3 linked regions of the Daphnia pulex genome follow. The protein of the gene in region 1 purifies or fractionates together with the protein of each later gene. This does not show direct contact. Links are inferred from orthologs where the notes say so. Each region holds a gene or a part of one and is shown in the gene's direction. Other genes may lie near its edges.

Evidence for each region.
Region 2: the proteins of E2F-associated phosphoprotein-like (region 1) and pre-mRNA-processing factor 6-like purify together in Homo sapiens (affinity purification with mass spectrometry; 3 studies listed by BioGRID and IntAct, with this or other methods). This does not show direct contact. The link is inferred for Daphnia pulex from reciprocal best matches to the Homo sapiens genes EAPP and PRPF6.
Region 3: the proteins of E2F-associated phosphoprotein-like (region 1) and protein ecdysoneless-like purify together in Homo sapiens (affinity purification with mass spectrometry; 3 studies listed by BioGRID and IntAct, counting the BioPlex papers as one, with this or other methods). This does not show direct contact. The link is inferred for Daphnia pulex from reciprocal best matches to the Homo sapiens genes EAPP and ECD.

The regions. Positions count from the first base shown.
Region 1 is NC_060018.1:7,627,997-7,631,642, reverse strand, and holds E2F-associated phosphoprotein-like, read left to right. Parts: upstream 1-1,583; 5' UTR 1,584-1,728; intron 1,729-1,799; 5' UTR 1,800-1,812; coding exon 1,813-2,312; intron 2,313-2,395; coding exon 2,396-2,645; 3' UTR 2,646-3,082; downstream 3,083-3,646. Other genes in the region: protein MEMO1-like, read right to left, coding at 12-116, 173-389, 475-586, 644-756, 824-892, 1,003-1,084, 1,167-1,215. UniProt on the Homo sapiens protein: May play an important role in the fine-tuning of both major E2F1 activities, the regulation of the cell-cycle and the induction of apoptosis. Promotes S-phase entry, and inhibits p14(ARP) expression.
Region 2 is NC_060027.1:3,689,165-3,693,520, reverse strand, and holds the start of pre-mRNA-processing factor 6-like, read left to right. Parts: upstream 1-1,469; 5' UTR 1,470-1,481; coding exon 1,482-1,572; intron 1,573-1,651; coding exon 1,652-1,791; intron 1,792-1,849; coding exon 1,850-2,033; intron 2,034-2,107; coding exon 2,108-2,145; intron 2,146-2,208; coding exon 2,209-2,404; intron 2,405-2,477; coding exon 2,478-2,573; intron 2,574-2,645; coding exon 2,646-2,800; intron 2,801-2,870; coding exon 2,871-2,898; intron 2,899-2,958; coding exon 2,959-3,136; intron 3,137-3,207; coding exon 3,208-3,370; intron 3,371-3,427; coding exon 3,428-3,589; intron 3,590-3,683; coding exon 3,684-3,823; intron 3,824-3,903; coding exon 3,904-4,054; intron 4,055-4,356. Other genes in the region: endoglucanase 12-like, read left to right, coding at 55-194, 269-497. UniProt on the Homo sapiens protein: Involved in pre-mRNA splicing as component of the U4/U6-U5 tri-snRNP complex, one of the building blocks of the spliceosome.
Region 3 is NC_060018.1:5,231,231-5,234,882, forward strand, and holds the end of protein ecdysoneless-like, read left to right. Parts: intron 1-584; coding exon 585-672; intron 673-747; coding exon 748-926; intron 927-1,035; coding exon 1,036-1,177; intron 1,178-1,274; coding exon 1,275-1,454; intron 1,455-1,524; coding exon 1,525-1,650; intron 1,651-1,723; coding exon 1,724-1,904; intron 1,905-1,968; coding exon 1,969-2,283; intron 2,284-2,345; coding exon 2,346-2,530; intron 2,531-2,593; coding exon 2,594-2,794; 3' UTR 2,795-3,215; downstream 3,216-3,652. UniProt on the Homo sapiens protein: Regulator of p53/TP53 stability and function. Inhibits MDM2-mediated degradation of p53/TP53 possibly by cooperating in part with TXNIP. May be involved transcriptional regulation. In vitro has intrinsic transactivation activity enhanced by EP300.

The DNA.
Region 1 (3,646 bases):
AGATTTTTTACATTTAACAGGACTCCGATTGGATGTCTACCGCATATGGTATTGCCGTATTTTTTTAAATATTCGGTGAATCCAGCCGTATCCAGTGTTTCAATGATGGACATACCCTGTTCATTTATGGCACAGTAAATATTAGTAAATGAGAAGGGAAAAACGATTATACTTCTCGATCTAGCCTTTGGATAGACTGGAAAATTTCTCCGCATGCTTTGTCATAGTGGGTGTAACGAAATCGTTGACCCCAGTGGCAAAAATCCGATGAAACGACGAAACAGTTGTTGGGGTCCGCGAGATACTTGGAAAGGAGTCTTCCGTAGTGGGTTTCACGTTCCGGAGACAGCGATCCAACCAAAATTGGGACAATGGTAAAATCTCTGTGACTAAAAAAACAGCAAGATATTTGAAAATGAACAACATTGCAATAATTTGCATGTGAAGAATTCTGATTGCAATAAATTCACATACTTTTCAAAAACTTTGGCAATATAAGGCAGATGCATTTCAATGCTATGCTCATCTTCATCTGTTTCCAGATTCATCCACTCAAAGCAGCCAGTACCCTGTAGTTCTTTATACACTAAAAATAATACAGACTAAATATTTTCCCTTACAAAATTGTGAAATATAAATTTACCCTGTGTATCAATGGTGAGATCATAAAATGGAGTGCGGTATTTGGCTACAGATGAGAGGGCACATCCAGACAGCCTTACATGATGGGAAGGCCCTAGAATAAAGACACGTTTCCTGTTCCAACAACATACACACTGATGGGAAAATAAAAGGTAAAAAAATTTTTGAGGCTTATTTTTACACATTTGTAGGATCAATCTGTTTGTATGCAAAACCTGCACAAGATCCGCAATAACGATAGCCAGCATGCCTGTGGTAAAATAATAAACAGCTTTTGTTAATTTTCGCACAGGAGAGACTTTCACAAATTTATATTTTATTGATAGAAGTAAAAAAAAAATAATCATTTAAAAAACTTACGGTGCAATGATAGCCCTTGCTGGTCCATGTGAGAAATTGGCTGCATCTAGCCACCCATCGAGTTGACGACCAAGTTCCTTAGCTAGGAAAGGGTAAATATGATAAACAACTAAAATATGATGTTTTTCCATTTAAACAAAGGAACAAAGATGTGTCAATATTACCCGAATCAGAATACCAGCTGCCAGCGTGGGATGCTTTTCGTACGGACATGTTAAAAATAACCCTTTTTTACGTAATCTTTAATCTAAAGGATATCACCAGTTCTATTCTCGATTAAAATTATTTAAGAATAGTCCTATTTCCTAACCCACCTAGCAGTGTACCACCACTGTACACAATGCAACCAGCCGTCCTTCTCACACAAGTGATTGAGGATTGGACCATTGGGGGGTGAAAGCAGACCGACCGAAAGCAATCAACGATGCGAAAAATTAACTATTACAGAAATCGAAAATTCCAGGAAAAGTTACATGATTTTTATTTTTAAATTATTTTTTAAAAATCCTGATAGATTTTTTAAAGCTTTTTATAGGCATTAAATCAATTTGAATGAAATTTTAAATCAGTGGCAGCTATCGGCCTATCGCCTGAAAGAATCGAGTTATAACGATGTCAACAAAGAATTGACAGAAGGGCACATGCTGATTTGCTTAGTTATACGTACGTAAGACCATCGTTTAATGCTTGTTGATGAAAACAATATTGGTTTCTTGTGTAATAACGGTGAGTAAAACTTTTAAGAGTGTGAAGCTAGTTTTCGCTGTATATAAAATACTTGTTTTCACCGATTTCAGCTCTTTTTCCAAAATGGATTCAGATGACGACTACATTGTCCAACAGTTCAGCGATGAAGGAGGCATCGATTCGAGCGATGACGATGAAATGGTTATGAAAGAATTTTACAAGCAATCAGAGTCTGGGGGAAAAAAGTCGTTGAAAGATTTTCAGGCTGAAATGAACAAGGAATTGGAGCTTCGTGTGGCAACTTATCTTGAGAAAGAAAAAATTCAAGATCCAACAAAATTTGGGAGTGATGTTAAAACAGAAAGCAAGTCAAGAGATCACTACTTTGACACTGATTCTGAAGAAGATGTCGAAACAGAAGATTCAACAGCTCAAGCACAATCTAATATGGAATTATTTTATGATCCTCAAATGGATCTCAAAGATGAATCCTATGTACAAAAGCAGCGAGACATGTACAGAAAGAAATTCAAGAATCAGGCCAAGCCCAAACTTTTACCTAACAGTGATGCGGTGTTGAACTGCCCTGCATGTTTTACAACTTTATGCCATGACTGTCAGAGGTAATTATACGACCTGCTTTTTAATTAATTACATCATAAGACTTTGCTGAATCTCTTGTATTGACTGAATGTTAACCTTGTAGGCATGAAACTATCAAAACACAGTACAGGGCTATGTTTACTTTTCATTGTCAAGTAGACATGAGTGAGGTGATGAAAATTCCTCTGCAGTCACAGAAAAACCGTTCCAAGAAGACGGCGTCAGATGAACCTACTTTCAGTGGGTCTGAAGATGTTTATCATCCGGTACGGTGTTCCACGTGCAACACACATGTGGCTATGTTTGATAGTGATGAAGTGTATCATTTTTTCAATGTCGTTACGAGTCATTGAATAAAGTCCCGTCTGTTATTATTTTTGTCAGTGTGTTGTTAAACTTGTGTGTGCACTTAAAGTTATTGTAATAAGAAAATCAAGAGTCTTCGAGGACAAAAATTTTGTGTAATCGCCACACATCAAAAGGGGGAGGAGAGGAAGTCACAATTTCTTTTCATGTGAAAAGAAAATAAAATAACGGAAGGGTCAGTGGGCAACGGTTCACACACCCAAAAGTAATATTCCGCACTGTGCGAACAAAACATGGGATTTTTTTAACCAAAAAACTAATTAATGATGTGAAACGCTGTAAAACGGGTGGGAATCAAATGATTAAGAGGAATATTTATTCAAAATAATTCCTGTGTGTCTGTGTTATCCAATCGACTCGGCTACCATCAAACCCCTATCCCAGATCCCTATCGAATTCGAAATTGGAAAAGATTTGCACAAAATAGCCTCAAAAAAGGGGAAAACGCAAAAGCATCAACAGTATGGGGGGAACGAAAAATTATACCCACAAAGAAAAACGCGAAAGAAGACGAGACCCAAAAATCAATGCACAAAGATTGAAAAAACGGGAAAGGGAGGAAGTCCACGTCTATTAATTTTTTTTAAGTGGACAAAATTGGTTGTGTTTTATCGAGGAAAGAGGTTGGGCGGATATAACACACCACAAAGAATTTGAAAATAATTTGGTTGTTTCTAGGGCTCGAAGATGAATGTGTCTCAGTCATCGAACGGATGGATTTTTCTAATTTATGGGATAAAAGTTCGGAGGGGAGGAGGAATACAATGAAGAAAAACATTCAAAAATAGAATGAAGAAAACTGGCCGACTCCAAACATAAAAAATTCTTCCTGCTTTTTTTTTCACACTCGGCAGATTCATCTAGAATACTAATTCTATCAAAGAATGATGGGCTTCTTTTTCTGCCATTCTCTCACACCACTACCCAGCTCAGCCGTTGCTCGATTTTGTGTACAGATGGTTCAAAAACAACGAAAATTTAAGGGATG
Region 2 (4,356 bases), on another chromosome or scaffold:
TACAAAAAAATAATCATATGAGTTTGAGTCTTAAATCTTACACCGATTCAAAAGGCGGCTGACCTCAACATCAATCCATTGGCGTATCGCAAACTGGCGCAACAACAAATTCATTATGCGCTTGGAGATACAGGCCGTAGTTTTGTCGTGGGTTTTGGAGTTAATCCGCCGTTGAAACCTCATCATGCGTCCAGGTTTGAATAAAACATTGTGCTTATAAATATGATAGCATTATTATTTTTTAATGTTTTTATTTTTTTTTATGTAGTTCATGTCCGAATAGACCAGCTGTTTGTGATTGGAGCACTTATTCCTCAACTGCACCCAATCCCCAGGTGCTTTATGGAGGTCTAGTTGGTGGTCCAGATAGCAACGACAATTACACGGATGATCGGAGCAATTACGTTACCAACGAAGTAGCTTGCGATTATAACGCCGGCTTCCAAGGATCTGTAGCTGCTTTGCAATCATTGGCTGTCCAAGGTGTTTTCAACTAGAATACAAATTTACAAGATAAGACAGGAATTTGTTACACAACTATATTATATACCTACATTTTAGAAAGTATATTTTACTCTTAATTCTGCATGGTTATCTGCTACAGTACTGCTGATCTTGTTGGTTTTCTTGGAAATGGGATTTATTACTAAAGGTTAAAAAACGCCTGCATTTGTGTGTTCTTGAAAAGTTAAATAAAATTTGGTGATACATTTCTCAAACTATTGGTAACTTTTCAACCGATGCGCATGTCACGAAGAATCGTCTATTAATCTGAAAGAGTATAAGGAAAGTCTGGAATACGTTTGAGTTCGATGTCCTTTTCAAGGTAAAGGTGGTAGCTCGCGTGTTGTTTCATTCAATCTGAAACCTGAATTATGCAACTGCTGAATTCAATAGAAGATGTTGATAAATTGATTTCCACACCTAATTGATTTCCAAGTTCCCAAACATCACAATAGGCTAGTCATTAATCTAGCGTCGAAGTTGATTGGTTTCAAACAAGAACATCTGAAATCCGCACAGGGGGTGATAAACTGATGTATAGAAATCGAAAAATGCAACAAGCGTAACTACGTTTTCCGCGAAGAAACCCGTAAAGAGATTTCGCTGAAATTCCTCGTGCAAAAGAAGTCGTAGTTATCAAGGCTATAGTTCCATCGGGAAAAAAATAAGACAATTTTTAAAAATGTCTAAACAAAAGAATTTTGTGCGTCATCCATATTATAAAATCTACTTGAAACTGGTAGTGTGAGTATGCATTCCATCGAATGGGTCCTGTATTTCCTAATACCAGTGCGTTGCTCAAGTAATTCTTTTCCTCTAAAATGGTTTTAATATGGTGATGGTATTCTTGTTACGCAACTGTATTTTCGTTATTTTTTAATTATTGTGAAGTAATATGCAATAACGTAAAAGAGTTGAGTCTGTGCCGTGTATGCTTTGACCGAATGTAAAGTATAAAAAGGCGAGCGGGACGAACGATGCTGACAGAGAATCCAGCAAACTTACTACCGAGAATGTTGTCTTTATCCGGCTTCATCGTTATTCTTCTTTTCATGCATCTAGCTTCCGGTAAATATTCTTCCGTGTGGTTCCTCATATTTAACATGATTATAGAGTTGAAAAATACACCAATCAAAATAATAAATAGGAGGACCGTGCGATAATGTCGTCACAATTAGCTCATCTTGGCCGGGAGGCTTGACTGCCTCGCTTAATATTTCAATTACGACTCCAATCACTTCATGGGAAATTGACCTGAAATTTTCATCGGCCGTTCCATGGTTAAAGGTATGACACGCTCCTGTTACATCATAGATAGCATTTTTGAATATTTTTATTTTTAAAGGCTTGGGACGCTACAGAGTCTAAGATTAATGAAGTGGAATATCAGCTGAGAAACCTCAGTTCTAACGGAGTTCAGAGCGCTGGGGCTACACTGACGAGTGTCGGTTTTAATGCTTTCTTTAGTTCCAGCACCACACCCATTATTACAAGCGTACTTTTTAACGGAGACAACGTCTGTTTAATTGGTAAGTAACTAAATTATTAATCGTAATAATAGAGAATTTTTGGTTAAATTTTGTTTTTATTATGTCCTTCCAAGACACTAAAACAGAGGCTAGACAACCGATAATAGAAGAAGTAATAAATTTTAATTCTTTGGCATAAAATGGAAAAAGTTGTACTAAATGAAGCAATTTCTAGGAGAACAACCTTTTAGTGGATGCCTGGCCGACTAAATACAATTACCGTGAAGTAATCACCAAATCATTGCTCTTCTACTATGCCCAGCGCTCTGGGCGCTTGCCAGTAAACGATAACCCCATTCCGTATCGTTCAGACTCGGCGCTCAACGATCGTGGACAAGACGGAGAAGATCTCACTGGAGGCTATTACGATGGTAATTTATACTATTATTTGTATTCTATTTTATTCCATCAAAGTATTTGAAATTCTTTACCATATTTATTTAGCTGGAGATCACTTGAAACTCGGTTTTCCTTTAGCCAGTTCTATAACGATAGTGGCTTGGTCGATAATTGATTATCCGCTTGGATATTCTTCCGCAGGTTTTAAAAATTTAAACCAATTTCTCGTTGAATCAGATCACTAAACTTACTGGATTAATTTAAATAATACAGGGAAATTAACAACAGCTCGAAATATGGTCAAGTGGGCGACAGATTACTTTATCAAGGCCCATGTGCAAACTAACAAATTTTATGGGCAAGTGGGCGATGGCGATCTCGATCACGATTACTGGGGACGTCCCGAAGAAATGACCATGAAACGACCGGTATAAAGCCCTGACCCATTATTAAACTCATTTATTTCATCGACTGAAAACTACATTTCTATCGCTTTAGGCTTTTTTTATATCTACCTCAAAACCTGGTAATTTGTTTTTAAATTATATTGTCGTTCAAAGAAATAACACAACATTGCGCACGATAGGGTCTGACTTGGCCGGTGAAACAGCTGCCGCACTTGCCGCAACTTCAATAGTTTTTAAAACAGTCGACAGCACTTACTCAGCTCTTTGCTTGACACATGCAAAGCAATTGTACGATTTTGCTAAACGACATCGAGGAATATACAGCGAGTCCATCCCACAAGTAGCAGATTTTTATTCGTAAAAGCTTTAAATTTAATAAAATTGTTGCGTTTGATGTGTATCCGGTATAATATCACAATTGCCTGTAGGTCAAGTGGTTTCGGTGACGAACTGGCTTGGAGCGCTAGTTGGTTATACCGAGCTACTAACGATAACGCTTACCTCGACGATGCTAAGGCATTTTACACCGATTTCAACCTCTCCGATAATCCATCGGAATTTTCATGGGATACGAAAACTGCCGGAGTACAGGTAAATCAGTTATATTTGTTTAATTATTGTTCCGTTAATGCCATTTAATTCATATAGGTTCTGTTGGCCAAACTGACAAATGAGAACCTCTACAGAAACGCAGCGAAAACTTTCTGTGATTCCAAAGTTGAACAACCGAAGACGCCAAAGGGGCTCCTATTTGTTACCAAGTGGGGATCTTTAGGCGCCGCATCAAATATCGCTTTCATTTGTCTTCAAGTATTTAAAAAAAAAATTATATTCACAATTTTACGCCTGGTGATTAAAAATACGTTAAACTAATATATTAATATATTATTCACTTATTCCGTAGGCTGCCGATCTGAACATCAATCCATTGGCGTATCGCCAACTGGCGCAACAGCAGATTCATTATGCACTTGGAGATACAGGCCGTAGTTTTGTCGTGGGTTTCGGGCACAATCCACCACTGAAGCCACATCATGCGTCCAGGTTCGTGTTTTTAGCTTCTTGTTCATACAATAGATATCCAGAAATATTATACACATTTCTAATTTTTCGTCTTTTTGCAGTTCATGTCCGAATAGGCCCGCCGTTTGCGATTGGGATGCCTTTGATTCACCCAATCCTAATCCCCAGATCCTCTATGGAGCTCTAATTGGTGGCCCAGATAACCAAAATGACCATTACGTAGATGACAGACACAATTTCGTTACGAACGAAGTAGCTTGCGATTATAACGCGGGCTTCCAGGCGTCTGTAGCTGCTCTGCAATCACTGGCTGTTAACGGAATCTTCAACTAGAAGCAGTGCAGGAACATGGAAGATGAGATGAAGAAGATATTTAATATTTTCATCCGCCTTTCGTTTTAGTAATAAATCTTCTCGGTGTTTTTGGTTGTTCGGAATGTGTCAAATAACAATCGGGAAAATTTTTTTGAAAGGGAAAACATAATTATGAGCATTACGAAATTTGGCAACACCGGTGTCGCACTTCAGACGCACATTGCAAAAGTCGAAAACAG
Region 3 (3,652 bases), about 2.4 Mb from region 1:
CCATTACCCCCCCTCCCTCCGCTTGAGTCGGCCCTGGACACACTACTCAAAGGCAACTCTAAAGGAAGGTGCGGGTCCACCTGAAGTCCTCAGTTGTCCGCCGAACTTCCATTCACGTAGACACAACAGGAGCTCTCCATTTCTCTCTCTCCTCTCTATCTCTCCTGTTTTTCTTTTCCCCACTTCTTTGCCACATCGCCGCCTCTGTGCTATTTTTATATTCGCTTGCACTCTCTCGTCAGGAAGTCTTTTTCCTGTCCCCTACAAGCGATAAATTGTTTTCGTGAATCGCCGTTGATTACTTACCCAATTCCAACATGTCACCAACATGCTCTAAATTGTGCAACTGCTGGCTTTGCCGCACTCGCAGTTAATCTATTTTAGAAAAAAACCTTGTGAATTGGTAAGCGACTATTTTTGGCATCTCCAACTTTTTCAATCAATTACACTAAGCATCGCGCCAGTGGTCCGCCGTTTCTGCGGATATAATTGAATTAGTGATTTAACCGGATGGTCTAGACAATTGATATTCTAACCAGTTTTGTTGTTTGTTTGTTTTGTTTTTCTTCTTCTCCCCATCACAGAATTGTTGATTCAGATGGTGAATTCTTGCTGGTTGAAGCTGCCGATAGTCTTCCGCGTTGGGCCAACCCAGAAACTTGCATCAACAGGGTAAGTTTATTCGCTTAACTCTTTTTTTTGGAATTCCTTGACAAAGTTATAATTTTATCACTCTGAAAATTACAGGTTTTTATCCATGGTGGTCAAGTTCATATAATCAGTATAGCTGATCGTCCCTCTAGTATCACTCCTTTACCGTCAGGCCAGCCTTCTCTGATGGACGCTGTTCACATTGTTCGTTCCATGCCGCACTTGACCATAGCACCCGCTCCCATTCAAGAGCCAATCCACCAGCGCATTGACAAGTAAATTTGAAATTTCTAATTTTGTTTTCGAGTTTAAGGCCATTTCGTAATGGGGACAACTCCCCTGGTTTTTTTTTTGTGTGTGTGTTTTTTCTTTCAACTAATTCAGGTGCGTATCTCAAATCGATTCCAGTCTTCACCGTTGCAATGTATTCGTGCCTGCTGGTGTTGCCGCTTTGCTGCAATCCTATCCGACTCTTGTAGCACCAGCTATTCATGCATTCTGTCAGCGCGATGCCTCTCAACTGCAGGTATTTAAAAAGTGTCTGGTTAAAATGTCAGCTCAAACCCGAGCTCCCGAAGGCAAGGTTTAATCAATTATTTTGTTCCCCCCGTTATGTAACGTAGGTTATCCGCGCCATGCGTTTCTTTCCCCCAGAAACTCGAGTATGGACGTCAGTGACATTCACAAAATGTCTTTATGCTATGCTTGTTCACCGTAACTACCAGCCAGATCACAGGACTGGCTGGTCTTTACCACCGATTGGCGATTCCAAACGAACGGGTTCAGACCTTGGCATGAAACTTGTACGCAATTTCTTTTATCTGATTTTGTCTTTTCTGTTTTGAATTTATTTATGTTTTCAAATCATTTCAGGCTATTGGATTTGAATTACTGGCTAACGAGGAATCCTTACACCAAAAAGACGACGATTATTCTTTGGACATGGATTCACGTTGGAATCGATTCCTAAACACACTGAAAGAAAAAGGATTTTTCCAGGTAAATTTCACTGAAAGTTATTTTGTCAAATTTACAAAGTAATTTGTGTTTTTATTTCTGTTTGTTCTTTTAGGATTTCCTCGATGGTTCTAAACCACATAATGAGCTTATGGAAAAAGCTCGAGAATTTTACATCAATAGTGTGGGAGTAGAAGGACCGGCAAAGAAACCTGTCATTTTAAGACTGATGCAATCTGTTTGTGCCGATGTCGACAAATTCAAGAAAGTAGAATCCCATTTACCTGCGGATGACGGTAAGGTTTCACTTGTAAGACGTTGGTAGAACTGCAACTCATGTTTCGTTGTTATTCAATACAGATGACTCCTGGCTATCTGTTGATCCTGCCACCCTTGATCAAATTCTCGGCGACAAATTTAGTTTGTTGGGAGTCGATGATGATGACGAGGCCAAGGCCGATATCTTGCCTAAACTTGAAACCTTCCTCAATCGGACGTCAGATTATGAAGGTCTTACGCCGGCCAACGGCAGGAAGAAATCCAGAAAGCTTTCTCACCTAGCTCCGCCTTCAAGGAAGACGTCAACGCTCTCAAACGCCTCTGACGCTTCCCAACTTTCTACCAACATTGGTTTCGATCCAGATAGTTTTGCATCCGCAATGCAAGGGATTCTTGGTACGTCAATTTCTTGTAAATTTGTTGGACTTTGAAAATAATAAAAAAAAAATCTTTTGTAGATTTCGCTCTGCCAGAAGACAATTGGGATTTGGAATCAAATTCTTCTTGTTTGAGCAGCTACAGTGAAGAGGAAGAAGGCGACGAGTTGGTAGACAAGGAGATGAACAAATACATGCAAACAATGGATCAAGAATTGTTAACCACGGATGTTCATCGTACTTCCGTAGACAACCCTACTCGCAAGGTAAATTTTTGTGTGTGTGGAATTAACAAACAATTGGTAATAAGCCATCGAATTCGTTTCCAGGAATCCGTCATGAGCGAAGGTTGTGAGAGTTTCAGCGATGTGGAAAACTTTCAACCCGTAAAAATTGATTCTGCTGCTCTTGAATCCCTTCTTGCTTCCTACACAATGCAGCGTGGTGGTCCTGGTCCTGCATCTATTTTGTTGAATCAATTGAATCTTTCTCGGAGCCAGGTATCAGCCAGTAAAAAACAAACCGACTGAAGATTGTGACCTTACGTTTGTTTTTCTCCTCTTTTTCTCTTCACTCTTTCCCTATGTAATTATTATCGATGTCTTTTCATCCGCCCTATTTCCTCTTACCCATGCGATTGGGTGATTTGAGGTTTAATTTATTATTATGATTCGTCTTTTGATAAAAACTTCCGGTTTTTTTTTTCTTTAAAAAATTCGGTCCCTCACCTTTTCGAATCTGACACATTTCTCAAAAGCCAGTCGCTGCTATCCCTCTGTGATACACAACGCTCGGTGGAGGTGGTTTGTATAACGGGACTTTTTTTTTTTTTTTCCATTTCCAGCTCCATTCCTAATACATTTCGGATTTATGTATTCGCCTTCTTTGCGTTCTTCCATGTCTTTTGGCGTTATAGCTGCCATTTGAAAGATACACGAGGATTCACACTGAGCACGTCTTGTAAATTAAGTCGATACAAACGGAACGACTCGTGGGGTCAAATTACTCGTACCCACGCAAGTCACGGTTTGCCTCCAGCCCGTATCCTTGTTCCAGATTTTAAAAATACCTTTTTTTTTTGCTAAGTTGTTGTATGCGCACAAATGTGGAGTCAAAAGGGCAAGGTACAAGCTATTTTAATTCGCGTCTGGCCATTATTTTTATTCTTTTGGCTTTTTGAAGTAGTTCTAATGAATTTGAGTATCGTTAAATTGTTTGCCAACATACCAAAATGTCCAATCATCGAGTTCTCAACGGATTTGATGATAATACAGTTGAGTAAGTTTGAAGGATGCCATTACGCAGTTTCCGCATCAATGGTGCATAACGAAGTCCTTACTTCAGCGGCGACTCCGCGGGGAACATTGAAAAGCCAAATTGGCGGGGTA